Linked DNA regions of Coturnix japonica. The protein of the gene in region 1 interacts with the protein of each later gene in a pairwise test. Links are inferred from orthologs where the notes say so. Each region holds a gene or a part of one and is shown in the gene's direction. Other genes may lie near its edges.

The links.
Region 2: the proteins of LPXN (region 1) and HOXC9 interact in binary tests that used the Homo sapiens proteins (3 or more experiments, as listed by UniProt). The two-hybrid records come from large-scale screens. The link is inferred for Coturnix japonica from reciprocal best matches to the Homo sapiens genes LPXN and HOXC9.

The regions. Positions count from the first base shown.
Region 1 is NC_029520.1:7,834,380-7,850,154, reverse strand, and holds LPXN (leupaxin), read left to right. Parts: upstream 1-5,659; 5' UTR 5,660-5,738; coding exon 5,739-5,781; intron 5,782-5,872; exon of another isoform or gene 5,873-6,343; coding exon of another isoform or gene 6,344-6,356; intron 6,357-6,911; coding exon 6,912-7,060; intron 7,061-7,172; coding exon 7,173-7,228; intron 7,229-7,539; coding exon 7,540-7,645; intron 7,646-7,717; coding exon 7,718-7,873; intron 7,874-7,942; coding exon 7,943-8,116; intron 8,117-8,181; coding exon 8,182-8,263; intron 8,264-8,375; coding exon 8,376-8,524; intron 8,525-8,934; coding exon 8,935-9,201; 3' UTR 9,202-9,545; downstream 9,546-15,775. Other genes in the region: E3 ubiquitin-protein ligase ZFP91, read right to left, coding at 1-2, 483-572, 997-1,033, 1,285-1,500, 4,396-4,421, 4,502-4,875; CTNND1 (catenin delta-1), read right to left, coding at 11,291-11,302, 11,501-11,566, 11,690-11,787, 11,909-11,956, 12,254-12,341, 12,845-12,959, 13,055-13,247, 13,464-13,614 and 3 more. UniProt on the Homo sapiens protein: Transcriptional coactivator for androgen receptor (AR) and serum response factor (SRF). Contributes to the regulation of cell adhesion, spreading and cell migration and acts as a negative regulator in integrin-mediated cell adhesion events.
Region 2 is NW_015439867.1:139,338-152,131, reverse strand, and holds HOXC9 (homeobox protein Hox-C9), read left to right. Parts: upstream 1-7,034; 5' UTR 7,035-7,317; coding exon 7,318-7,861; intron 7,862-9,949; coding exon 9,950-10,194; 3' UTR 10,195-10,264; downstream 10,265-12,794. UniProt on the Homo sapiens protein: Sequence-specific transcription factor which is part of a developmental regulatory system that provides cells with specific positional identities on the anterior-posterior axis.

The DNA.
Region 1 (15,775 bases):
CCCTACAAAGACACAAATACAATCTATCACTCCAACGTTAAGTGGTATCTATTTAACGATACCCCCATGCCTCTGTCTTCCTCTGAGCCTCTATACCCCTGGCTTGCTGTGACTGGGTTTCCACTAAATTAGCACCAAGAGCTTCCTGTCCTTCCATACTCTTTAAAAAGCACTGTCCACTCTTTACAGTTAGGCAAAACCTGGATAGGACTTCATGTTTTAATCAAATCCCACTTCTAAACAAAGCGGAATGGAGGTCTAAAGATGCACCTGGCTGCTGACAGGGCTCTAAAAGCTTCAGACCACCAGAGAGAAAACGTTCCCAAGAGGTGTGGGAGATGAGGAGAACACTACACCCGATGGGAGCCACTACATGTCAGCAACCGGCATGGTTTGTCTGGGTCACATTAAGCTAGTTCAACTAAGAGGTCACAGTTGCTTCTTTAACCTAAAGACACAGTTAAGTAGGTAATCTATCATACTTTTCGAGATGGGGCTTGTAGGTTTCATCTCTTGGATCATCTTTGAAGGGAACTTCTTCCTCACTGGCAAGGATCTCCTCCTCATCATCACTGACAGGAGAAAAGGAGAACAAAGGAGTTATGCAGTGACAACTGAAGCACTACTGCAAGAATAATCATGCAGTTCCCCATAGGATGGGAAAGACATGCAGCAGTTCTCATCCCTTGTTTGCACTAAGAAGCACAACTAGGCAGAGCAGCGTCCTATTGAGAACCCACCCAACTACAGCATCGGCTGCAGAAGGAACAAGGCTTCCAGCTGAAAGGCCCATGCTGACCAAGCCCAATTCTCCAATATCTCCTGACACCTGCAGCCCATCAGCAATCCAAGCTGAAAATGCGAAGGGCCAGGACTGCGTGGGAACACAGCTGCCATCACTCTCACAGACCATGTCACAAGCATTTGAGAAACTGTTCACATATGGTGTTTTCTTGACACTAAATGCAAAGAACTGTCCCAGAAAAAGTTTCCTACCTGATTCCAGCTGGAGACCGATGCTCATCTGTGACCTCTGAAAGGAAAAGTCACCATTAGGTTTCAATCTGTGTTCGCTGCAGTGAGCTCATCTGTCTCAAGATACCTCCGCCGACATTCAGCGCCAGGAGTGCTGGTGGCAGAAGGTACCTGTGACAAAGCAGCACCACGCCTGGAGCAGCCACAGTCAGCACACAGCTCACTGAGTGACACCCACACACAGCTCCCTTCAGAGGTTCCCACAAGTTACCTCTCTTCAGGCACTTCACACCAGTGCTTCCCACATACCGTATTCCAGCTGGTCAGAGTTGGGTTCCGACTTGCAGACGAGCTGCAGGGAGCCAGTCTTGGACCTGGAGGCACGTGAGTTCTCGGCTTCACGCTGGCGGGTGGCAGTGGCTGATCTGCTGCTGCGCCAGCTCCTGCTGGGCCGGGCTGTGCTGACTGGAGAGCCCTGGTTGAGGGCAGGAGAAACCTCCTCCTCCTCTTTCTCTTCTTTGGGATCTGAAACACCATTAAATCTCACTGTTAATCTAAGACCAGCTTCAAAACCGACCCATATTTCAAGTCATGTTTGGAGAACCCCCTAAAGACATGCCCAATCCAAAGGGGACCCTGGATAACAATCCTGAGGAACCCAAGCTGGTTGTTTCTAGTCTTGTGCTAGAGCAAAAATTATCACAAGCACTGCCACCCGGAGGCCTGTGCACTCATTTATTGCTTCTACAGGTGGTTCCTCTTTAGCTGATGGCCGACCTCCATATAGGTTTTGGCAGGAGAACAGAACCAACTAAAACGTGTATGCGAGCAAGTTCATCTCTTTAAAAATTAAAATTCCAAGTGCAGTTCACCTGATCTCACTTCCTGGTGGTTGGTGGAACACCGGGCCTTAACACACTCAAATGCTTTCTGACATTTCACAAACGATGTGCTAAAGGAATCCATCCCAAGGAGCTGGCCGGGCTCTGTGCTCCAGCTCTGTCACTGCATTAGCACACTGGCACGGGGCCTGAGCTCCAGGCTCAGCTCTGAGACACTCCTTCTCACTGACATCCATTTGCATGGCTGTGTGGCCCTCCCCAGAGGGCAGCCAGGCACAGGGAGTAGGGCTGGATGCCAAAGCCGTGCTGCTGTGCATCCCCAGAGGGCTTCAAAACATGAGCTCCACACTGAACCCACACTCAGCAGGGCCCAGAGGCCCCCTGAGGTCCCCTGCCCCCTCTGCTCTTCCCTCATTTTCCACCAAACCTTTGAGATAGAACTTCTGGTACGGTGCTCGTTTGGGGCCCCATCCTCAGTCCCTCATTAACAGTTGGAGTGACCAACCTTTGACTGATAAATCTGATTGGAATACAGGATATGAGGCCTCAAAACAGCAACCAAATCTGATGTTTTACATACACAAAGCCACCTTCATTACAAAACACGAACTATGCCTTCTTTCTGCCTTCCTGGTTGCGTGGATCTCAGCACCAACTACATTTGCTTTATGTTTTTAACCCTAATTCTGAAAATCCTTAGTTTTTTTGAACACTAAATCAAATTCATACACCTGGAAACCATTCTCTAGCATCCTTCCCACAGAGCACCACCACTCTACACACCAACTGCTGCCCTCAAAAGATGTTTATCCCCTCAGCAGATCTGGAATTTGGCTGATTTCTTATTCAGAGCCCATATTTTCTACATTACAAATACAGAGTTGAAACCGGCCCCCATCAGAACTCGTTCCTATGAAGCACACCACAGACCCAGCAATTTTGCTCCACTTCTCTAAGTGAAGGTGTGAATGAGCCTTTTCCTGTGTCACTTTCACCCCCACTTCAGCACTGTCTGGCAGATTTGTTGCTTTTTTATACATGCTGTGAATACTTCTGTGCCTCTGAGAAAACACAGTAAGAGCTGCTCCCTTGACTGATGATACCTTGCAATAATTAACCTTGCTGTTTCCAGTCCCGTCTTGGACACCACACTTAACCTGGTGAAACCCCTCTCCTCCCCCCCATGTACCTGAGCAGAAAGCCACGTGCTCCTCAGTTAACAGGATTTGGGTAATTAGAGCAAGAAGTGAGATAAATGGAATGCATGTTGCTATTACAGATCATCAGGCTCTGTTGAACTCCCCTTAAACAGTAACTCTGTGACAAGCAGTTCTATGCTGAGGTGCTTTCACCACTCTGATCCTCCCCAACTTTCAACTAACAGCATCTAGGGTGGAAAACACGCAGATTAACAACGGACCTTCACTTCAGTAGGCAACAACCATCCTTCCACGATATGATCCCTCAAGAAAACATTAGACAGCGACAGGAGGGAAAGCTGAGAGGCAGCCAGATGCAGAGATAGAGCTCTGCTGTCATGGCTTGGAGAAGCAAGTGAAAATGCTCTGGGGAGGAGCTTACCCCAGGACCATCCATCCTCACTCAACACGTGGGCCATCACAGCTCATGGCAGCCTTGGGAATAAGCACACCCTGGTGTAATGATGTCCTTGGAGCACAACACACAGGGATACCCAACCAAAGAAAGCATCTCTATCACAGAACCGGTGGGTACCACCAACTGCTGCCACGGCTCAAAGAACCACAGGAAGCACTCAGCTCTCAGTTTGGTAATAGAAGGCCATGAAATGCATTCATTAAACATACGTTCCAATAATTAAAGTTATTCAGGCCTAACAAAAGTGAGAATTATTCCCACAAGAGCCCACGCTGTCACAGAGCACCCAACGTGGCACACACTGCACAGCTATACAAGTCCGTTTTGAAGCTGAGATTATACGTTCCCCTTCTGAAAGTAATATTTCTATAGAAACACATTAGGGAAATATTGCAATTGCATGACTAAGCAGCCAGGAAACACAGCTGCCCTCATGCACATGGGCAACAACCACACACACACCCTGGCACACCACAGCTTTGACTTTACTCTTCCACAATCACTCCATCAGACCCACACAGATGGATCTTTGGAAACAACACACAGCACTTCACCTGCCCAAATCCAGGGGCTCCTCACATACACCACGAGCACTAAGCACATACACACACATGGGCTCTGTGCTCAGTGCACTATGATCCCTAAGGGAGCAGCAGTGCACACCATTCACTACTGCTACACACTGGGACTCCAGAGAAGATCAATAGCTGCACATCCACCTGCAAACCCACACCTCTATTCAGAACAGCCCAGCACAGATGTGAGCCCAGCTGTGCCAGCAGCTGCTCGGGGCCGGCACAGAGATACCCTGGTGGTTAATTGGGAGAACAAAGTTCCTGCACGGTGGGTACTTCCACAGCCCTGATACACCTTGGAATGGAGCTGCACGCCCCATACACACACAGGGCTTCCTCCTAAAGCAGCTCCATCACACAGCACAGCGGAGACACGCGGCTCTTACCTCTGCCGGACGCTTTATCCGTGCACCTGGGGAGACAAAAGCCGGGCATAAGAGGCAGCTCCCAGCGGGGCCGGCGGTGTCACGGTACGGCCATGTCCGCACTCACCCTGCTCGTGGCGCTGCCCTCCTGGCTGCGGTCGTTGTCCCCGCATCGTGCAGCTCGTTGCCGGGCCGTGCCCCGGGGCTGCTCCTCCGTCTCCGCGGGTACTCAGCCTTACGGCGCCGGGAGGCGGCGGTTCCCCCTGCGGCCCGGCCCCGCTCCCGGCCGCCCCTCAGCACCCGGCCGCCGCCGCCGCTCTCCTCCCCCTGCTCGGCGGTGGCCGCAGTCGGGCGGCGGCGTCCCGATGGCGGCGGGGGCTTCTCTGCCGCGGGAGACGGGCTCCGTGCGGGCTGTTCCTGCAGCTCCGGCTGCCCCTCCTGCTCTTGCTGCTGCTCCGGTTGCTGCTCGGCTCCGTCCGGCTGCTCGGTGCCCGCCGGCATCGGGGCGGCAGACGGAGGTGCCGCGTCTGGGCGCCGCTCCCGCCCGCCCCGCTCCGCTGGCCCCGCCCCGCCCCGCGCTCTCGCCCAATCACAGCCCGGTATCCGTTTTCACGCGGGCCCCCCGCGCCCCGCCCCTTCCCGGCTCCGACCAATCAGCGGGCGGCCACCGACCCGCGGCCCTCCCGCCTTTCTCCGCCGCTCGCGCGCCCACCAGCCAATAGACGCCCGAGTTGCGGCAAGACCCGCCCCCGAGCAGCCGCGCGGCCAATCGGCGCTCGCCTCCCCGCGCAAGCTCAGCCGCGCTCGGTCTCCCGCCTCCACCTCCCCCCCCTCACTCCGGCCTGCCCCGCTCCGTGCGCTCCCGCTCCAAGTCCCGTTACACTCCGCCGTTCACTCCGCCCGCCCGGCCGCACTCCCGCTCCCGCCGCCTCCCGTCCGCTCCTTCCTACCGCCGCCGCTCCCCGCGCCCCTCCGGCCGCCCCCGAGTCCCGTTGGTCGGGATGGTGCAGTGTGCCCTGCTTGGTGTGCCGTGTGGCCGCTGTGTGCAGCCGGGATGCGGCGCTGTGTGCCGGCTCGGCTCGGCTCGGCACGGCTCGGCCCGGCTCGGTGCGGCCCGGCCCCGCTGCGGGGCTGTCGCTTCTCCTTTAAGAAAAAAAAAAACGCCCCGTCGGGCGGCGGGTGAAAGTCGGTGACAAAATGGCGGCCGGCGCAAGGGGGGCGGGGACAGCGCGCCGAGCTCCGCCCACTTCCGGCGGGGCTCCGCGCATGCGCTCGGCATGATGGGAGTTGTAGTGCGGCGGGTGCGGCTGAGCCGGAAGTGGCTCTGAGGGCGATGGCTGGTACAGCTCCCAGCATAGAGCTCAATGGGACGGAGCGCCGCCATCTTGTGTGCCCCGTGGCGCAGTGGTAGGAATGCCGCCTTGCGACACCGGAGGCCCTGGGTTCGAATCCCCCCTGTGGCGCAAGTGGTAGAAGTGCCGCTCTGCTACACAGGGGCTCGAATCCCGGGGGTTGGACTCGATGATCTCTAAGGTCCCTTCCAACCCGCACCAGACTGTGATACTGTGATGTTGCCTTTGGGAACCTCTTGTATCCGTCACCCTGACACACTGCGGGGCCTGGCTGAGTGCTCTCACTATGGGATGGTACCGGCAGTGCTGTCACCATATGGCGTGTCATAACCAAACCGTGGTGCCTCAGCCTGGGACAGAAGGGCCTCGTGCATTGCTGAGCCCAATGGCCTGTTCCAAACACCGGGCTGGATGCAGGCGGTGCTGCAGGGATGTGACACCCTTGGTCAGCCATTGCTCAGTTCGTTCCCTTTGTGGCCCCATCACTCGTTGCACACGATGCACAGCCCACAAAGGAAGCACCCAGCGCTGGGCGCTGCTTTCAGGGGTGGAGGCAGCGCTGGGAGCGGAACTGAGCGCGGTGCACCCGGCTGCTCGCACTGCGCTGCACAGGCGGCATGGAGGATCTGGGTAAGATGGGTCCCTGTGGTGCTGGGAAGGCTGAGCTGGGCCTGTGGCCGAGTTCACTGCGGGTGCTGCTGTGCTTGGCTGGGGCAGGTGGGGTTGGAGCACAGGGGGCAGCATCTGCTCCTCCATCTCGGGGACAGACGGGCGGTTGGGCTCTGCCAAAAATGGAGCGTGCTGCAGGGCAGGAAGCGGGCAGCGGTGACGGTGCAGTGTGTCTGTGCGCTGTGGGGCCCAGCAGCCTGCTGAGAAAGGCAGCACCGTGAGCAGGGCTGCCCTCACCCCAGGCAGGGAGATGGGGCAGCTGCTCAGCAAGGGGTGCCCATCACCATGTCTTACCATGAGGGTGGGGAGCTTAAAGTAGAAGGAGAAAGGACTTGATCTTCTGTAAGGATCCCACCGCCCTGGGGCACAGGAAGCATCAAGGCTGAGCCTTCCTGTGCCAGGGCTTGTGCTCGGAGAAACTTCAGGGTGATTGATGTTCCTGCATAAACTGGAAACAGCTTCTGCCTGGGGCACGGAGATGGGCAGTGGGTTCCTTATTCGCATCTCTCCATGCAGATGCGTTGCTGGCAGAGCTGGAGCAGAGCTCCCAGCCGGCCCCCACCAACTGCACGTTGCTGACAGCGAGCACCAGGCAGCAGGATGCACCTCCAGGCAAACCCCCAGCCCCAGGCAGCCAGAAGCCTCTTGCCTCGACAGCCCCGAAGGTAATGCCCAGGGCCTGGGAACGGGGCTCGCACTGCAGCCCTGCTCATCCCATGACAGGGGTGGGATGCTGCAGGGTGCCGGGAGCTCAGCCACAGGGATTTGTCCTTTCAGGTGCCACTGCCACCTCGGTCTCAGCCTGCAGGCAAACGTTTGGAAACCGTGTACAGGTAAAATACAGCCATGAGATGGCAGAGCCGTCGGGGTTACCCCTTCCTTAGTTCAGACAGGCTCACTTGGCTTCCTCAGTGTCCCCACCAAAACCAGGTCCTTCTGCGAGCTGGGGTGAGGGGTCACATCCTGCTGTGCCCACTGCCAGGGTGAGGGGTGGGCTTCCAGCATTGTCCCCATGGAGAGCCCCTGTCTCCTACCACAGCTCGTGGGGAAAGAGCAGCATTTTGAGGGTGAAGATGCTCTGTCCTATGTGCTCCTCAGTCTCAAGGCTGAAACTGCAGCACCTATTGCTCTCTGCTGTGCCCAGCAGCCCTGTGCCGACCCCACAACCTCTGTCTGCTTCGCCTGAACCCACAGCGGCCGCCCGGCAGCTGGATGAGCTGCTGGCTGACCTGGGCCAGATGCAAAGCAAGGTGAGCTGCATCCAGGGGCAGGCAGCACAGAGCAGGGTGGAGCCAGTCCCTCACTCACCCCCATCCCCGCAGCTGGCAGCAGTGGGGCAAGGAGCTGGAGCTCCAGTGGGCCCTGAGCACTCTCTGGACCACATGCTGGGTGGCCTGACGCGGGACCTGCAGGAGCTGGGCATCACTGCTGCTCCTGCTGCCGTCTGTGCCGCCTGCCACAAGCCCATCGCCGGCAAGGTGAGCCACGGGGTGGGGGCCTGGGGTTCACAGCAGCCTCCACGTCCCTCACTCATCCCTGTCCCGCAGATGTTCACTGCACTAGGTGAAACCTGGCACCCCGAGCACTTCACCTGTGCCCGCTGTGGGCAGGAGCTGGGCGGGCAGCCCTTCTTTGAGCGTGGGGGGCAGGCGTACTGTGAGGAGGATTACCACCAGGCCTTCTCCCCACGCTGTGCCTACTGTGCTGGCCCCATCCGCGAGGTAAGCACAGCCCTGCCCACCTCTTTGTCCCTGTACCCAGTGCCTCACCTCTCCTGTGCCCACAGAGAGTCCTCACCGCCATGGACCAGACCTGGCACCCCGAGCACTTCTTCTGTGCCCACTGCGGGAAGGTGTTTGGAGATGAAGGTTTGTCTCATGGGGACATCCCCTACTCCACACCACATAACCCAGCCTGGCACCTGCATCTCCATCCCAGCCCTCCCGTAGCCCAGTTCCCATCTCACTGCCTTCTCTGCAGGTTTCCATGAGCGCGGTGGGAAACCCTACTGCTTCCAGGACTTCGTGGTCCTCTTTGCCCCCAAGTGCCAGGGCTGCGAGCGGCCACTGACCGACAACTACCTGTCAGCCCTGCAGGGCGTCTGGCATCCCGAGTGCTTCGTCTGCGCAGTGAGTCAGAGGGGTGCAGGGCTGGCACATCTCAAAGCCACGGCAGCCTTCTCCCTTTGAATACTCATTCAGTCTGGAGGAGATTCAGGGGAGACCTTATTGCTCTACACTGACCTGAAAGGATGTAGTGGGGAGGTAGGGGTTGGCCTCTTCTCTAGGGTAACATTGAGAAGATGAGAGGGAGCAGCCTCAAATTGCAGCAGGGAGGTTCATGCTGGCTATTAGGAAACATTCCTTCTCAGAAAGTGGTGCAGCACTGGCACAGGCTGCCCAGGGAGGTGGTGGAATCGCCATCCCTGGAGATGTTCAACACATAGATGTGGCATTGGGGATGTCTGAACATGTGTGGGTTGACAGCAGGACTAGATGATCTTAGATGTCTTTACCAACCTTATGACTCTCCCCTGCAGGACTGCATGAGCAGCTTCACCAACGGCTCCTTCTTCGAGCTGGAGGGCCGGCCCTACTGCGAGCTGCACTTCCACCAGCGGCAGGGCAGCGTGTGCCACGGCTGCGGGCGCCCCATCACCGGCCGCTGCATCACAGCCGCCGGGCGCAAGTACCACCCCGAGCACTTCATCTGCTCGTACTGCCTGGGCCAGCTGCACAAAGGCACCTTCCGTGAGCGCGGGGACAAGATGTACTGCCAGCCCTGCCACGACAAGCTCTTCCTTTGAGCTCCAGGCTTCATGCTGCTAGGAGCTGCTGCTCTGCTTGGCTTCCCTGGCAGCAGCACCACGAGCACTGCCCTGCTGAGCCCCAAACCCCTCGGGTTTTATCCCTCAGCATCCCCAGCTGCAGCAAACACCACCTCCGGTCCCACCCCTCCACAACCACAGCATTGCTCCTTTCATACCCCACAGCCTTGGCATCGCACCCACAAAGCCGCAGCTTTCACTTGAGCAGGTTTCCCCCGGCCACTTCTCTGTTGTTGCCAGATAAAGAAATTACTGTATTTCTTAGAGTTTGTTATTTCTTAACTTGGGCAAATAAATAAACACCATCCCAGTGCTACATCACACTTCAACTCCTCCCATTACTGTCTCAGCAGACACCAGCCCCAGTGGCAAACCACTGTGCTTAGCTGTAAGGCTAAGATAGGAGAGGCATCAGCCTCATGTCCAACACGCGCCAACAAAAGGTCACACTTTAAAAACTTTATTTATATAAAAAAATCATTTTGTTTGAAAAGCGTTACAAGAGTGTGCACAGGAATCAGACAAGGAACAGCGGGGTGCTCCTGCCCCCTCCACCCTCACCCTGCAGCCAGCTCCCCTGCCCTGCACAGGAGAGGAGGGAAGGGGGAAGCTTGGTTTTGTGGTTGGTGTTTTGTTTGTGTGGTGGGTTTTTTTTTTTTTGGTTCATCTGGAATTAAAAAATTAAAAGGAATTAGTGTTTTACGTATTGAAAGGAAAGAGAGAAGTTAGACCCCAGAACAAAACCAAACGGAGCTGAGGTGTGGCTGGAGCTGGAAGAGCGAGGCACAAGTGTGTGTACTGGGGAGGGCTCCGTTCTCCAGTTTGCAGCCTTGCAAGGAGGTTCCAGTTGCACAGGGAGCCTAAAAGCCTCCCCCTGTTCACCCCAAAGATCACAGCACCAAACACGGCCCCACCACCACAGAGATGCTCCAGGACAGGAGGGGAGAGCCCTGCCCTTATTCAGTAGTGGCAGCCAAAGGCAGCAGGGCTGGGATCCTCCCCCGCTGGGCTTCCAGCTCAGCCCCACCAGGAGCCTGTTACACCGCTTCCCATAGCGAAGCCAGACAGTACAATTCAAAGAGCTATTTCACAGTGGCAAAAGAAAGGCACATGTCAAGAGAAGTCTGAGGGGGCACTGCCACGGGCAGCTGGTGCACGGGGGTGGATGGGATCCAGGCCCTACCTGCTGCGCATGCCCTCAAAGACCCACCGCTACTTCAGCCAGTTCCCAAAGAAAGCCGGCCCCAAAAGCCCTGCTGCTTCTCCTCCTCCCCCAGGGAAGGATCACCCCAGGGCAGAGGCCTGTCCCACCACACCACGCAGACCCTCTCCCTACATAAGGATCCCTCCTCTTTTCAACTGCCCCATCCAGACCCCCCGTTCTCCCTGGCAGGATCCAGAATCAGGCCAAACAGTCAGAGTTAAGATAGATCCCTCTTCCCACACCCCCAAAGCCTCACGTAGATCAAAGCAAGAAGAGTTATTGCTGCTTCTCCTTTCCACCAACACCCCCGTGACTCCAGCCTCCTTCGCACCCCAGTCCCGCTGCCACCAGGGAGGGATGCTCTTGTCCCTGCAGCCTCAGCTGAAGAGTGATCCCACACACAGAAAAATATCCTATAGGCAACAAAGGAAGGTGGCAAGTAAGGTCTTGGTCCCTGTCCCCGCAGTAGACTCCGAGCAGAAGGAAGGCGCGGCAGAGAAGGCAGTTCCTGGTCAAGGCAGAGGTCTGGAATTGTTTTGCAGCATTCTTGCCAGTTGTGGCAGGCAGTCAGGCAGGAGGGCCTCCTCTCTGAAGGAAGGGAAGTGGTGGAGGACAGGGAGGAAGAGTTATTGATAGTTGTCCCAGAACAGGGAGGTGCAGCCACTGAGAGGAGGCAGAGCGGCCTGGGCTGCCTCCTGTGGGACCAGGCCCAGTCATTTGGCTGGCGAGTTGGCACTAACAGTCCAGCGAAAAAAAAAAAAAGAGTTGAAAAAAAATTGGGTCCATTCCACCACGAAGAGTTATATATATTTATATATATAAAATATATTATCAACCAAATTGAGCGGAGGCAGGAATAGCAGCTTAAATCTTCTGCTGTGGAGAGAGAGGGGGAGAAATGTTAGCACATCCAGAGCAGGAACCATCGGTGAAGATACATTTACAGCCCCCGTGGATCAGATGGTGATTGCAGACAGCAGCGATCAGAGCATGATTTGACTGCCTAAAGCACCCCAACAGCACAGCAGGATTTGCCACCGCTCATCACATTGGACAGGGTGCTGCAGGACATACCGACACAGGGGAAAACACAGCAGAATCTTCCTCTGCCTCGGGCTGGGATTCCTGCCCCTCCTCCTGCTGCAGACACACGGGGTTAGTAGGGCCGAGGAGCAGGCGGGGGTTAGTCACAGAAGCCCAGTTCTCCAAGTGTCATTCCCTGCACCTCCGCCCACTTAAGTTGCATTAAGAAAAGCTGCTCACCATCAGCGGTGCTGCCTTCACTGGCTCCGTGTCTCTAAGATCACCAGATCGGTCCAGTGTCCTGCTGTGGTCCATCTCATTAAGTGTGGAATAGTTGTCTGGAGGAAGACAGCAGACCATCAGTCATGCTGCCTTTCTGTGAGCCAGCATCCTCCCCATCGGAGGCAAGGTGTTCCCAGCACATCAGTGAAGATGCCCTTCCTCCAGTCCCTTTCCTACCTGGTCCCATGTTGCTCATCTGGATCTCCTCCCGGGAGGATTTCTTGTCTACAAGGATGAGAAAACAGATCAGACATATCCTCTGCAGCCAAGAGCAGCAGTGGATTCACTGCTGGATAAGCACAGGTGGAGCTCCAGCCTCAGCACTGCTGGCCCAAGGATACTATAGGACCTATGTAAACTCTGAGCAACCTTTACAGCCTTGAGAAAAAAAACTCCCTAGGTTGATGGTGTTGCATGAGCCCCTGGGGAACCCAAGGAAGCTGGGGGTGAAAAGTACAGAGGGAACACAGGTATCCACAAGTTAAAATGGGGACAAGCACCAAAGGGAGGGTGGGCACATACCTGTTTTTTGGTTCCTGTCGATGAGAGGCAAGGTGCTGTCATCAAATGAGTTTCCCCCTTGTGTCCGAGAGGCATTGCTGAGGTTCACCTGGAGCACAAGACAGCAACCACTCATACTCCATACACCAAGCACACGGCAGCCCCAGCAGGGCTTCCCTCCCACAGCCCTTGGAGCAAAGGACCTGAAGACACCCCAAATCCTTGGGTGTACCCACAATAAAGGGTGGAGGTAGTCTACCTAGGCTGGGTCAGAGCAGCACCCAGCCTTGAAGAGGCAGCTGCAGCTTTTAGGAAAGGAAGCAAATACTGGACGACCTTCTTTTTTCCCCTCCCCTCCTCAGCACTGCCACAATGGCTTTAGTGCTACAGACTTTCCCTGTTGGTAGATCTGATGTTCAAGGCTGCATACTTTGCAGAGCATTTCTGCTCCACTGCTACCTATCCACCCACTGAGAAGTGGCAGAGGGGACACCTTCAAGGGTCTCTAGTGACAGCAGTAAGAGCTGAAATCAAACACTGTTGAGTTCCTGGAGCACTTTCTTCATGCAGCAGGACCCAAGCTGCAACAGGGTACTTCACCATTCCCCATACCTGGAAATCTGATTTCTTCCAGCCTTCCTTCTCCAAGGGTTTCCGCAGCTCTTTATATCCCCAGACTGTCTGCAAGACGAGGGCAGCTGCTCGAACTTCTCTCTCTGAGCGGTTCCTAGAAAGCAGTAAAGCAAGAGATGTTGGACAATGTCCACAGACTCAAAGCAGCCTTGGGAAAAGCCCCTCACTACCCTTCAAAGCAGAGCCTACCCAGTTTTGTTGATCAGCACCAACTTCTCAATCCCCTGCGTTTCCCGCAACTTCTTGGCAGCCTCAAGGTTGTCTACAATGACTTCGTTGATGGTGTTGAGGATGGACACGACTGTATCCTCAGAGAGGTTTTTGGCTGGAGTCTGCTGGCCTCCAGGCAGGTTCTTCACTAGGTTGGGGATGGCATGTTTACCTAATAAGGGCAAATAGTCAGGCATGAGTGAGCAAAGAAAAGGATCAGAGACTGGTCCCCAGTTCTGATTTATCTCCCAAGGAGCCCACTGTATGTTTTTCTGGGAAGTGAACAAGACATCCCCTGCACAGCCACTGTGCCCACGCATGTCCTCAGCCACTCAGTCTAGAGGAAGTGTTAAGCCAGATAGATATGAGGTATGTCTGCAGCTCTCACCTATCAGCTCTTTGTTACGCAAGTCAACAGCCAGGTTGCGGAGAGCTCCGGATGCTGCTTTCACTACACGTTCACTGTCATGGGTCAGGAGGTCAGCAATGGCAGAGAGTCCCTTCTCCTGGCGGAGAGCCGAGCGGATGTACCGGCCATACTGCAGGGAGAGCAGAACACCAGGGTGGAACACAGGCACACACAGCTTCACCTTGCTCCTGAATGTGGGTGTATTACTGGGAGCTTTAACACCCACCCACCTCAGAAACCAAGTGCCCTAAGTATGCCCATAGGGAGAGAACCATCTCCAAGTAACCTCAGGCAATGCCTGTGAATGGGAGAGGACTGATTCACAGGTGTCAAAGCCCCTGTGTCAGCCAGGTAAGCATGACTTTGTTTGATCTTTCCATACACAGAAAGAGAACACAGAGCAAAGGCACAGTAGGACTACAGAGCGGGCCCAAACATACACTCCCTTCTTCCAGACTGCAGAAGGGAAGAAGTGTCAGAGAACAGGCTGCAGACAGAGACACATGCAGCCCTTGGAAAGAAACGGCTGATAGAAAGCAAAGAACCCTCAACAGCAAAGGAGAGATGTGGTCCACATTTGAGTGGTGCTGCTGAATTCTCTCTTCTTAATAGCAAGCCACATAAAGTGCAACAGCCTGGAATGCCAGAGCTTTGACACTTTACAGCTCTGTTGACACCAAAAAGTGATGATCCCCTTTCCCTTAAACACTGATGAACACCAACGTGTCCAGCTCTACAAGGCACTCACCGTCCAACTGCCAGCACACAGATTCTGAATTGCTCCTGCTGAAGCCTCTAGGATGGCTGGAGTCTTGCTTTCTTTTAACAGGGAGATGTATATCCGGATCACTTCTGGCTGGAAGAGGAGCTCATAGCCTGCCAGAGAGACACAGGGAGGAAGAACTTATAACCTCTGCCAGTACCCAAGACCAAGCAACAGACATGCTCGGAGGAGCACTGCTAGGCACTGTCTGCTTTTTGGTACACAGTAGGACAAGCTGTCCCTCAGCAACAGAAACCCCAGATAATCAGCCCAGACATCTATTTCAGACTTCAGAATACAGTGTTTTGGGGGCAAAAGTAGCTGAACTAAACCCCATGGCCAATAGCTGCTGCTCAGCTGGCCACAGAGGGGCTGTGATTTGCTGCCCTCAAGGTTGGAATCCTTGGAATCAGGTAAGATGCCTGCCTTGGAATTCCCCTTCCTCAAATTCATACTACACAACACTCCTCTAGGCAGGGCATTTTAGTTTAAAATCCTGCCCATCCTCTGTGTCCAGGAGAGAAGAGCAGGCAGGACACCAACAAGTTTAAAAACACAGCAGAAGGGGCCTCTTTGCAGGGCTGTGCCACCACGCTGTCCCTCAGCTCCAAGAGCAACAGCTCCCTCTGCAGCCACAACAAGCCTGTCTTGAGGTAGCGCTCACATCCACCAAGACCAGCAGGCCTCCTCAGGGCTGCCTGCAGCAGAGCTTGTGAGCCTGGGCAACCAGAAACAAACTACTTTCAAGTCAAACCTCTGCCCATTTAGGAGGCTCTTTTCAGTGAGAAAACAAAAAGCTATGCATGCCATTCCCAGACTGCTTGTGGGAAGGCAGCCCTAAGCATCAGAGTCCTGAGTGCGCTAGACAACATACCTTTGGCTGGAGTTGTTCTTTTGGGAAAATCCACTGTATCTGCACTAGGGTCTTCGGGGAGCTTCTTACCTTTAAAGGGCAAGCACAGAGGCATAAGACATCTCATTTTCCCATCCACATCAGCCCAGCAGCTTTTTGCCACTTGCTACAAGAACAAGCCCAGAGGTGAGCAGAAGCTACATGCCACCGAGGACATTAGTCACATTGCAGGCAGCACGAGGCCAGCTGCAGGGAACAAAGAGCTCAGAAAGGCACCCAATCATTTTCACCAAGGAAAAATTAAAATCAAGAGCACACTCACCTCTGGAGAACCATTCGTCTATTGGCGAAGCGGAGAGGACAGGAGAGAGAGGAGGCATGAGGAGAGAAGTGCCGACAGCATCATGGGGCAGATCGTTTGGCAAGAAAGCAAAGGGAAGGGGAAGGGACAACACATAAGAAAAGGGAAGATGTGAAGTTAGTGGTTATCCATCCACCACCATCCCATCACCACAGAAACCCACAAGGGCACCATTAGCTCGTGTCAAATGCTTTGAGTGAGCCAAGCAGTAACTTCCCAAAGCAAGGGAAGGCACAAGACACCGTGTTTCCAGAGAGAGCCACAACTTAGCTTTCACACGAGAGATGACAGAACAGATCACAAAGATTCCAGAC
Region 2 (12,794 bases), on another chromosome or scaffold:
TATAAAACCCATTGCAACGAGGGAAATGCGTCCCTTGAAGCGTCGCTTTGCAAAGACATCGCTTTTCCTTTGTCCGCTGTGTTCAATATGTTGTGTTTTAAGTGTGAAAAAAGAAATAGCTGCTGGTTTGGTTGAATGCGATGTTGGACGGAGCGCGGCTGTTTTCCTTGCAGGTCGAATACAGCAGAGCGGAAAAACATAATGAGCGAGTTGGGAAAAGAAAAGAAGGGTAAGGGAAGGAGGAAAAAAGCGGAAGAAACTCGTATACAATACTGCAAATTAATTTTTCAACAGGGACGATGTTGATTACTGGTGCTTTGTAACCGTAATTATTTGATATTAGCGCTGTGATAATTGAATTATTTAAAGGATTCATTACACGTATGATGAGTTTGCCTTCTCTGCGTTGAGTGTCTGCAGATTTCCTTCCCTTCCTTCTAACAGCGTGCAAGACACCAAACAATATCTATTCTCTGTATATTAAGATTGATTTTATTTCGGAGCGACCACCCCCATGGCGAGAAAGAGAAGAACGTAAAGTTAATATATGTTTAGCGACCCAACTCCAGAAACGCAATAAAAGTTAAAAATCTCCCCTATGGTTTTTTAATTATGATATTAGATCAGGAAGAAAGACGGGAGGGGAGGGGGGGGATTTATCACTCCGACTGTTTGGTGCGGTTCTACCCGGCTTAGTTGTTTTTATGTAAAAAACATGGGTAGTCAAAAAGGCTCCATGCTGTTCGCCTTCATCTCTCTCCCCGCGAAATACCGCCGGCTTTGCTGCTTAATGCTCGTGCTATTTCTGATGCCGTTATCGGGGTGAAATATCAGAGATGTTACGATATGCTACGTTGCGTCATATTTTCCCGTCTAATGCTCGTCTCCCAGCAGGTGGAATTTTAAAACCCGGAGGCTTTTTTGCTCTCCTATGTGTGTGTGTGTGTACGAGAGCAGAGCCTGCGGATCAACTTTTATCCCTCTTGCTGCTGGGAATGACTTTGGGGTGGTTTTACGAAGCATCACCCCGTGCGAAGAGATGGATCCGGGGTTGGGGGTTGAGGTGGGGGCTGTGGGGAGATGGGGCTGAGCTGATCAGCTTTCCTTTTTTTAACAGCAGGGACCGGGCTGTGCTTTGGTTTCCTCCCCTTCCAATGCAAACAGAAATGAATGATAAATAAAGGTGGGGGGTGTGGGGGGGAAGCGCCCACTCTCCCGCTTTACGTCTATATTTGCTCCGCTGGATGCTTTTTTTTTAATGGGGGGGTTGCACGATGGGTCTTGAAGTCCCAGCGCTTCCCAGCGAGATGCACCCGCTGCAAAATAACTGGGGCTGATGGGGGGGTGAGGGGGGGTGGGAGAGGCGTCCCCGACAGCAAATGTCCCCGCTCAAGGTTGTTGTCGGAAGGTGTCTGGCTGTCTGGCTCGGGATTTGCATAGGTACGGGCCGTGCAAACAGCAGCTCGGAGGGAGGGGTGGGGGCAAGCAGCAGACGGGACATTGCCCCCAGCTCCTTTATTTCAAGCCTCGGGTTGCGGGCAGGTTTGGGACTGGGTTGAGCTGGAGATGCTCTCGCCAGGCCAAAGAGATCGCGGTGCAGCTCGGGTTGGAATCCATCGCCTAAAGCGGCACCGTTCTCCTCCCCTTCATCCCCCCCACCCCGTGAATTTCGTGGGGTTATTGTCTTATTTGAGGGCACCAGGCTCTTCCTAACACCTTGTGCTCGCTTCCAAGCTCTCTGGTGTGCAACCGGAGCAGCCAGACAATAGGATCTGCAGACACAACTTGGAGCTTGCAACTATAGTTATCTATGCTAATTACAGGGTGTCTGACAGAAACATAATAAATGTAAAGGGAGAAGGATAGAAATATGTTTCTCCAGGCGGTATACAGTTCGCCTCTCTGGGTTCAGGCTTGTTTTCTCGCTCTTCTTTTCATTTTCTTCGCTGGGGATTTTTTTTCCCCTTCCCTTGACCCGCATTGCATTATCACACCCAAAACCGAGCTAACCTGGAATGCCTCAGCGTGAGGCTTCGCTGCTGCTCGGGAACATCTGCAGAGACGGCTTCATCTGGGGGAGACCTGAAATTTGGGGGGGAAAAATAAAGGGCACCGTGGCACACTTAAAGAAATTGTTCAGAGCTTTAATTGCACCTCGGAATTTATTGTCTATTACCCGTACCTCCAACACTGGAGAGACAGGAATTCTTAGCAACAGACAGAGGGGGGGTGGGGGGGGGGGTTGGTGGAGGGGGGAAGCACTTAAGCAGGTAGAAAACTCCTGCAGTGGGGTTTGAAGCGAGAGCTGAATGTCTCCGTCTCTCACGTTGGGTCGGATTTGAGGTTTTCGCGTCGGTGTGAGGCGATAAGAGAGCGAGTTCCTCCTCTCTGTTGTTGGCCCGAAGAGCTTTTCCTCTGTGAGATCTCGTAAGGAGGGCTGAATAAATATGATTTTCGAATAGCCGAAGAATTTAGCGGGGGGGGAGGGGGGGGAGGGGGGCATAGAAGGGGGGGAGAGTGGGAGAGGCAGAGCCCGGAGCCTGCAGTTACTCTGCAGCAGGAAGAACGGGTGGTATCTGGCCTGAAATTAATCTTTCCCCATATTTATTTACTTTAAAAGACAATCCTGGAATAAATAGAGGCATCTGGAGGACCAAGAAATATTTTTGCTGGCCTCTTCAGAGAGTCTGCTTTGGATTCACGCTGTCTATTGTGTGCGATCCACCCCCCCCCTCCCCTTTATTTATTTATTTTTTTTAATAGCAGAAAAGGAACAAAAGAAAGAGAGAAAGAACTTGGTCTGGCAGAAGTGAAGAGGAAGGGAGTGGGGAAAGGACAAAGCGGGGGGAAGAAGGGAACTTCGGAGCTGCTGAGGGCTGAGATGCAGAGGGAAGTTGGCTGCAGCTGACTTCGCTTTCTCGCACGGAGCGATCGGAGCTCAGCACCGCCCTTCCCAGCTCCGCACGGCCGAGGTGTTCTGGGGGGGGGGGGGGGGGGGGGGGGGGAGATTAAGGGACGGGGGGGTGGGAATGGGTGGTCGGAGCGGCGAGAAACCAGCGATTTTTTTTTGTTTATTCCGACCTTGACATGTGGTTAATTGAAACCACGGGGGGGATGAGGCTGAGCTCTTTTTTTTTTCCTTCACCTCCTTTCTCTCCCCCCGGCACTCCCCAACCTCCGCCCCCCCCTGTCACCCCGTTCATGTATCTGTGTCTCTGTGTCTGTGTGTGTCTGCTCGGAGGCTCCATTTGTCTGTCTGTCTGTCCATCCTCCCGTGTGTCCGTCCGCCTGTCGGTGCCCGCTCGGCCCCCAGCGCAGCCCCCGGCGTTCAAGCTCCTCGTTGCCCTGAACGGGCGAGCAACGCTCGGCCCCTGCGGGATGCAGCTGCGGGGAAGCCGGGCCTGCAGCTCCAGCACTCCCCCCGCCGACACTCTGTTGCTGGGGGCTGCGGGATCTCTTTTCCCCACCACCACTTTTCCACCCTCCCAACCTCCCCCCTCCACCACCCCCCCACAAGAAAAAAAAAAAAGAGATAATTTAAAAGCAAGAAAATCCAAGAAATCAGTGTCACCTCATCGCTGTAAGCTCTCCAATAGGGTTTTATTCTCCCTCCCCTCTTCTGGCTTTTATTTTATTAGGATTATTATATATATATATATATATTCTTTTGGTCTCCTCTCCTTCCAATCAGGGAAGAATCGCTCAAAGCGAAAGCAAAAAGGTTTGGAAGGGAGAGGAAAAGGATGCACTGCGCTGAGCACACAGCATTGCCCGGGAGCGGGCGGACATGGCAAGGAGCATTCAGCCCCGAAAAGGTGTCAGAAGTCAATGGCTCAGACAAAGGCTTCGTCTTCTATAACCTCCTCATTTGCCAGGAGAGACTCTTTCTTAATCCATTTTTCCTTCCTCCACCGGGAAATAAAAGAAATATCAGATAGGATTCCTACGGCTCGTGGGCTGCTAGCGTTAGTTTTGCTCCGTGCCACCAAGTTCCTTCCCCCTGCAGATTGAAAAGAGGAGGTGAGAGAGGCAAAGCTGTGAGTCTACCCGGAAAGGGACCCGGTGGTTCACCGTCATTTCGAGAAGCGATCATCTCCCCTCCAAGAGGGAAATCGGAGCTTTTGCGGAGCACAAACGCTGCGAGATATAACCTTGCAGGAGCCGAATGCGATGGCAAAGCGTGCTGCAAATGCGGTGCGGATCTTTGCTCGTGCTTCTGGCCAGGAGGAATGCTCGGGATCCCGCTGCTCTGAGCGGACTTTGATTCTCGTAACTTTGAGCTCAGCCACGAGGGATGGCTTCGGATCGAGAGGAGAGAGGATGGAGTGTTTTGCGGGGGGTTCGAGTTCGTGCTTTGGGATTCCGCAGCACAGAGGGGGGAGAGGAGGCTGCGTTAACCCCGCGTCTGTAGTTTGCTGTAAGGTGAAGTGTCTCCATCTCCTCCTCGCACTGCTCGGTGCAATCCCCGAACGGATGGGGGGTGTTTGTACTGCAATCGCGATCGTTTCACGCGTGTGTTTGCGGGTGTGGGAGCGTGTGAGGGAGCCCACGGCGATGCGGGGAGCGAAACGCTCCGTGCAATGGAGGTTCCCGTGTAAATAAAAGAAATCTTCACCAAGATATGTTCGCCTTTGTGTGCCACCACCAAAACTCCCCATCCACGACTCATTCCGTGACCTTGCCTGCTCGAATGAAGGCTCCAAAAACTGCTGCTCCTCATTAAGGGTTGCGCTGCTTGGGTAATTTCTGCTCGTTTTGCGGTTCGTCTGTGGTATATTCTGACATATTTCTCCCCTGGAAAACGTCCCCACTGAGTCTCAGAGCTCCTCTCCCCCCTCCGTGCTCAGCCCTTTCTCTCTCCTTCTCCCTCTGCCTCTTTCTCTTCCCCTCTCTCCCCTTCTGCACATACACACAACCCTTCTTTGTAAGGATTCGCCCAGATATGCCACCAATTTGGGAAAGCCAGGCTGCTTTCACGTCACTCCCTGCATCTCAGCACCTTCGCACCGTAACTCTGTTTTAAAATGGGAATAGATCAAAGAACGATGAGCACAGATATACTTGTATATAGATACGGTTGTGTTTTTTTTTTTCTTTCCTTGCCAACATAAAAGTAACCGTCATTGGAGAGCTGTGATTGACAGATAAATTGGTCTCGATAAAGGCCAAAGAAGACAGTCTGCTCCCGCAGGAATATTTCCCTTTAAGGGCTCCCATAAAGCAGGGGGCTCGGAACGGAACAAGGGATAAATTCTGCGGCTGAGCGAGTGGATGACTTTCCTCCTCGAATTTGGCAAACCACGAATCCCTCCCCAAACATCCCTCCCGTCGGGGTTTTGTTTCCGAGCCTTCCTTGTGTTCTCCGAGGGGGAAACCCCACTTCCAGGGGCAGCGCGATGCAGTGAAGGGCAGCGTTTAGTGTTGGTTCAGCTGAGGTTCGTGACTTTGGGGGGGTCCGGTTGGACTCTCCTGGCAGCCCCACTCCCCTCCTGTCTGTCTCCGGATCTGCTGGCTTCACTCACGCTCTGATTTCTCCCCCCCTCTCCCTTTTAGACTTGCTGAGAAAAGGAAAGAGCGAGAAATGGAATGCGATTCTGTCCCGGGGGTGCGTGGGATCCGCGCTGGGCAACGCCGCACAATTGGGGACACTCTGCCCTCCCGGTGTCTCTCTGTCCCTGGGGGGGGGGACAGGGGGACGGGGACCACCGCATCTCTCTGATCCCCCCACTTTTTCTTCCTCTTGCAAACGTTGCCCGTTTCCTTCTCTTTCCCCACCGCGTCACCCCAAGCCCTATAAAACCCGAGGTGATTAATAGCCCTGGGGAGCCCGGACAATCAGGCTTATGATTTTGTGTGTGTGTGTGTTGTTTGGATTCCTTATAAAAAGGGAAAGAAGTCAGGAATGACCAACATGTGAAGGAAAAAAAAAACAAAAAAAAAAAAAAAAAAAAAAAAAAAAAAAAAGGAAAAAGTAAAAAGAAAAAGAAGAGGAAAGAAAGAGAGAAAGAGGGATCCTTTTTTTTTTTTTTGGTGGATATATTTCCTTTCTCTTTCTTTCTTTGCAGAGAAATCGCCCAACTCCATTCTTTCAACCCCCAATGGGCGTAAGCCACGTACCTACCTGTCTATGCTTACAAAGGAAAGCTTATCCTCCCAACACGCAGTCAGGGCATCCCCGAGTTGTTTGCTTTCTTTTCTTTTTATTAACCGAATGGGGGGAAAAAAAGCAGCAAAAATATCCTCCCAAACAAACAACCCAACAACAACACCGCACTCAGAAATGAAACCCGGAGAAGCACAAGAAATAGGAGCGCAGCGCCGTGCTCAGCACCCCGCTCTTCTCTCATCTCTCCGCCGCTTTCAAACCCCGTCAGCCCGGCACGAACTCTCAGCCTCGCAGTTTTATTTAACGAACGACACGTTTATGAACAATCAAACGATCCTCGTAAAAATTTTATTGAAGGGCATAAAAACATCCCCGGCCGGCCGTTCTCTAACCGAAGAACGCGGCTCTTTCAGCTCCAGGGCTGCTGTCTGTCCGTCTGTCTGTCCGTCCCCCCCCCGCTTCCCCCTCTTCTTATTTTTTTTGGGTGCTGGTGGTGTTATGATTTCCCCTTCCTCTTTTCAGAGGCGCTCCTCACATCCTTGTAAGTGCTTCCCCCTCCCCCCCCCCCCAATCCGAGATCTCTCAGACATCGCCGCTTTAAAAAAAAAAAAAAAAAAAAAAAAAAAAAAAAAAAAAAGAGAGAGAAAAATATATTAAAAAATAATAATAATAAGGCAAAATATATATATATATCGATGAGAAAAGGTCCACGTGCCATCGGGCTGAGCGCTCCAACCCCAACGAGGGGCTGCGGGACCCCCAACTCCGGGACACTTCTCCCCCCTTTCCCTTTCCTCCCCATCTCCCACCTCCCTCCAGTCTCTCGCAGCTCCAGAAGCCGCAGGATCGGAGGACAGAGACAAATTACGTCAGGAAATAGTTCCTGCTCTCCCTTCCCCCGCTGCCTTCCAGCTCCCCGGCCCCGGCCCCGCTGTGCCCGGCCCGGGGCTGCTCAGCCCCCGCCTCCCCCGCTCCGACGGCTCCGGAGCTTTGAGCGAAGGGCAGCGGTTCGCCCGGGCGCTATTAAAAAAAGACCTGCGGATTGATCCACGCTATATTTTTGGGTAAATACAATCACGTGAGGGCTGGCAGCCAATGGCAAACTGGGAAAGGCTGAAAAAATAATTACCTGCCCTGATTGTTCTATGAGAAGATAAAAAGTACACATACAGTTCATACAATAATCTTATGAATGTAAAAGAGGGGGAACCATGTCGGCTTCTGGCCCCATAAGCAACTACTATGTAGACTCCTTGATAAGCCACGAAAACGAAGAGCTCTTGGCCTCCAGGTTCCCCACCACTGCCTCCCACCCGGCTGCTGCCAGACCTTCAGGATTAGTCCCGGACTGTGCCGACTTTCCTTCGTGCAGTTTCGCCCCCAAGCCGGCCGTTTTTACAACCTCCTGGGCTCCCGTCCATTCCCAGTCGTCCGTGGGCTACCACCACCCGTACGGCCCCCAAGCTCCCGTGGGGGCCGAGCCCAGGTACATGAGGACTTGGCTCGAGCCCCTCGCCGGGGCCGTCTCGTTCCCGGCCTTCGCTCCCGGTGCCGCCCGCCCCTACGGCCTCAAACCCGACGCCTTTGCCGGGAGACGAGCGGAGTGCGGCCCCGCGGACGGGCGCGGCTTCGCGGACTACATGTACGCGGCTCCCGGGGAGCTGAGAGACAGAGCAGCGCAGACAATTCCTTCCCCGGAGTCCGAAGCCATCGCTTCCAGCAAACACAAAGAAGAAAAGCACGAATTAGACCCTAGTAAGTCGAAGTCATTCTTGTTTACAACCGGGGAGGCATTACAGCTTCCAGGACCGTACTCAATAAAATGAAATTACCTTAGAGAGAGAGAGAGAGAGAGAGAGAGGGAGAGAGAGCCCGACCCTAAAACTCCAGATATGCGGGAAGATCTGGGGGTTTGAGAGTCCGCCTCGCACAGCCCGGCAGCGGAGAGCTGCACTTTTATCCGTGGGCTCTTCGGCTTATTTTATCATCAGCGTTATTACTATTATTATTATTATTTATTTATTATTATTTCCATTTATTTGTTCCTTTGCGAGGGGGTTGCTTGGGTTCATCACCTTCCGCTGAGGGGGTCTGAGGGTAGGAATTGGGAGGGGGAGATGAATTAAAGAAGGAAAGGCAGAGGGAAGTGCGTGTGTTGGGGTAAAGGGGGGATAAAGCTCCTCTCTTTGCACTGGTTTCCACTCCCAACGCGGGAGGACGGGGTTGGAGCTGTGTCCCCCTCAGGATGGAGGGGAACATGTTGCTGTTAAGGGGGTGGGGTTGGGGGGGTTGGGAGGGGATGGAAGAACTGCTGAGGTGCCTTTTAGATGAAAGGAAACGGGGATGAAATAAAAAAAAAAAAAAAAAGAAAAAAGAAAAAAGAGGAAGCTCTTTTATCTGTCTGAAAAATCAAGAGGAGCTGCTGCACCCTTGCAATTGTTCCTAAAATACCCTTAGCACGTGGGAATAAAGGAAAAGGTGGGTACCCCCGAGGGAGGGAGGGGGGAGAGAGATGAAGGGGGAAGGAGAGAAGAGGAAAATTGGCGAAGAGATGGCACCCAGTGAGTGGGGAGGGAGGTGGGGGGCACGGGGCAGCGGGCGCAGGACATCAGGACATTGGACCATACACTTGAAGAACCTTCTGCAGCTCCTGAGAGGGAGGGAGGGGAAAAAAAACATCCCCCAGCAAACCTTGAACACGGTGTATGTGTGTGTATGTAGGGGGGAGATGGACAGCGTTAGGGTCAGGTAACCCCCGGCACCTCTATCCCCAATAGAGGGGAGCCGGCGCTGCCCCAAACCCTGCAGGACTCCGGGCTGTGGGTCTGGGGGTGATGGTGGTGATGTCTGTGTGTGTTTGTGATGGTGGGGGGCTGGGGGGTGAAGAGGGGAAAGACAAGAGGATGCTCCGTGTGTGACTGCACCTCCCGGCCTAACTTTGGGTTGAAAAAAGGCGATTTCCTTGAGCCGAGCCGGTTGTCAGCCTCAGGCAGCACCTTTGTGCCTACGGAGCTCGGAGTGAAGGTGGAAATGCACTCACACCTCCGTTTATCAACCCCCCCACCTCCTCAGCACCATCACCCCTCGATACAATTAAAATCGGAAGGGGGAAAAGTAAAAGCAGGGATATGGGAAGGCGGGGAGGGGGGGACGACACGCATGGATTTTAGCTGGAAGGTTAAGGAAAGGAAAAGCGAAGGGAAACGGGCACGGAAAGGGAGGAAAGCTTTTCCTCCCCGCAACGTGCGGGGTCCTGGGGGCGAGGAAAGAGCCGCTGGGACATCTCGGGTGTCACCTCCGAGATATGGCAGAAATAAACGGCACTTTTCAGGTCCTCCAGAGCTTCCAGGGAAAGCAGAGCAGAGCTGAGGCTGTAAAAAGAGTTTATGGGCCTATGAAATGGTGGGAATTTTGACTTTTTATGACTACGTCCTTAGATTACAGCGAGCAGCAAGTCGGGTGGGTCATCATTATTATTATTTGAAAACCCATCGCTGCGGGTTTTATGCGCCGAAACTTTTCCTTTATTTGCTTTTATCCCCCCCCCTTTCTTTTCAATGTGAGAACGGCGGCAAAAGGAAAGGAAATGGCCCCTCCAAAATAAACAGCTTAAACTCTCTCTAGCGAAGGTCGCTCGGAATATATTTAGGTGAGGTCTGCTGATGAAGCAGGTCTCTTTCAGCATTAACGTGGGCCTGGGGGGGAGGTTGTGTGTGTGTGGGGAGGGGGGGGATATAGAAAGGCAGCGGTTTGCATTGCTTTGTAACACCCCCCCCCCATCACCCAACCTCCCCCCCTTCCAAAACACACAACGCACACCGAAAAAAATATCTTCTTTCTCAGACAACCCCGTCGCAAATTGGATTCATGCGCGTTCTACGAGGAAGAAAAGATGTCCGTATACAAAGTATCAGACCCTGGAACTGGAAAAAGAGTTTTTATTCAATATGTACCTCACGAGGGACCGTAGATACGAAGTGGCCAGACTCCTCAACCTCACTGAGAGACAAGTCAAAATCTGGTTTCAGAACAGGCGAATGAAAATGAAGAAAATGAATAAAGAGAAAAGCGATAAGGAACAGCAATGAATGTCGTGCGAGGAGAGAAACGAGGGCGGAAAATAAAAGGAGAGAGAAAGAGAGAGAAAGGCAAAAAAAAAAAAAAAAAAAGGAGAAAAAATAACACAAAAAAAAGGCAAAATAAGGCAAAAAAGGCAAAAAAAAAGCTGATTTTTTTTGGGGGGGTGGGGGGGGTCTGAAGTGATTCTGCCGTTGGATGCGCGGATGGATGTTTAGCTGTAGAGGAAAACGCCGTTTTGGGACTCGAGGCTTTTCTAACACGCAACCGAATAAAGGAGAAAGATGCTGTTGTGGGAGGGGGTGGGGGGGGCTGTTTTCCTTTCTTCTCCCCCCCCCCCCCCCCCCCCCCTTCCTTTTGTATTTTATTTTTGGTGTGTGTGTCCTCGGAAAAACAACCCCAAGAAGTACTTGAATTTCTTATTATTAATAATAATATTTTCTTTTTATTATTATTATATTTCTTTTTTTTTTTAGTATTTTATTTCCTAAGTTAAACGGATGCGGTATTTTTTTTTTTTTTTCTTTCGTGGTTCCGCGAGCGAAATATTTTGTATTAAAAAAAAAAAGAAAAACCCCAAACAAAGAGGAAAAAAACAACAACAAAAAAAAAAGAGAGAGAGAGAGGAAACAGAAAGCAAAGAGACCGGAGGGAATGCGGCTCCATGATGTCCTGTCACGGTGGTGAACGTTTCTGCTGTACCCATTTGTGTGTTTCATTCTCGTCTCACGGCCGTTCTGTAATATTTGTTCTGTTGGCTATTGTAGAGCAGCTCTGTAAATATACCGAACGTGGAGGGGTTGTAAGGGGAGGGGGGGGGGTTGGAGAAGGGAGGGGTGGGGGGTTGCGGGAGGGGGAAGGATAAATAAAAGGGGGTGTTGAAAAAGAAAAGAAAAAGGAGAAATAATAATCTATCTCGGTATGGAGATGGTCTTTTTCTTGCCGTGGGGAGAACACGGGAAGCCCACGGGTGGAGGGGAGTGGGGTTCGGTGCTTCCTTCTTCCCCCCCCCCCCCCCCGCACCGCCCTATTTCACAGCCCATAATAAAAGGCGCTGAGGTAAGGGTTCTCCGTGCATCCATTTTTAGATGGGGATAATGAATTGTACTAATTTATGGCCCCCGGGGCAATCGAAGGATATGTTAAAAAAAAAAAAAAAGAAGAAGAAGGAGTGTGTGTGTGTGTGTGTGTGTTGGGGGGTGAAATGTGGGTGCTTGGATGAGAGGAGATGGCAGCTGCCGTCCGCTTGGGGGCGAGGGGTTTGGGGGGGGGAGATGTGCCATAGAGATGCGTGTTGTTTATAGGTGGGGAAGTGCTGCAGGGTGGAGGGGGGTAAAGGGGAAGGGGTGAAATCCAACAGAACCTCTTATCCATAATTGATAACGTTGATAATGGGATAGAAGGGCTGGGGTGAAAAGTGGAAGAGAGAAAGAGAGAGGAGGGGTGCAGTGATAGGGGGGTTATGTGGATGGGGGTACGTTGATAAGGGTTGTTATTGATAGGGGTGGATTGATAGGGGGACATTAATAGGGTAGGAGGTAAATGAAGAGGGAGATAAATTAATAGGGGGGTAAAGAAGTGATGGGGGGAGTGTGGAAGAAAGAAGGGGGTGAAGAAATAGAGGGATAAATGAATGAGTGGGAGATGCTGCATGGTGAAAATTGAGTGTGAATAAAAAGGCAGAGACCCCCCCCTAATTCAACCCCAACCCGGCCCTCTATGGAATGGCGAATTTAAAGAAATAAAATAGAAGAGAAAATAAAACGAGGAGAAATGGGGGAATCAAAGGCTGTTTGGGTGCGGGATGGTGAAAGCGTGCAGTGCGGGGCGAGGGAAAGCAATATGCGGAACCCCGTCGGGGAGTGGCATGGCCGGCTGGTGCCTCTCGGTGAGGGTGACGCTTTTCCGGGCTTGCTGAAAGAGGAAGGAGAGTGGGAGGTTGGATAAAAAACGAGCATGCGAGGGATGTTTTAATTCATAAAAACTTGTTATAGGTCCCTTTCTTTAATGAAATGAGTGGAGCGGCGTTTTAATCTTCCTAATCAAAAAGCAGATCGGGCATGGCGAGACGATCGCTTGTCGCCCTGTGCCCGGTTCCTCTGAAAAATCATATTAATAATAATAGTAATAATAATAATAATAATAAAAGAAGAAATCTGGAAGCGATTACTTCTGCCGATCTCATAAAATATCGCTCTTTCATATTTCTTCCCGGCCCTGATTTGTGTCAGCTGGGCGTGGTTATAGAAGGATGCCCCCCCCCGCCAGCCCGTTGCTCCCCCCTCCCCCCCATCCGCGTCTCTCATCGCCTTTTTATTTGCTTGTCGCCGTTTGGGGACAACGCTCCGCGGTGCGGAGAGGGGACATCCCCGGAGCGGGGGACGTTCGGAGCCCGTTTACAATCCCGGTTTTGTTCGGGCTCTGTTCGGAAAACCCTTCAGGAGCTCATTGGAGCGGTCAGGTTGGAAAACGTTTTAACGGAGGAGCAGATTTATGGTCCAAAAGGAGGGGGAAAAACAAGAACATGAAGGAGGAGGTGGTGGTGGTGAGGAGGGGGGGGTTTGGGGGGGATCTCTCGGCCTCGTGTCATTTCTTTATTACGGTTATCATT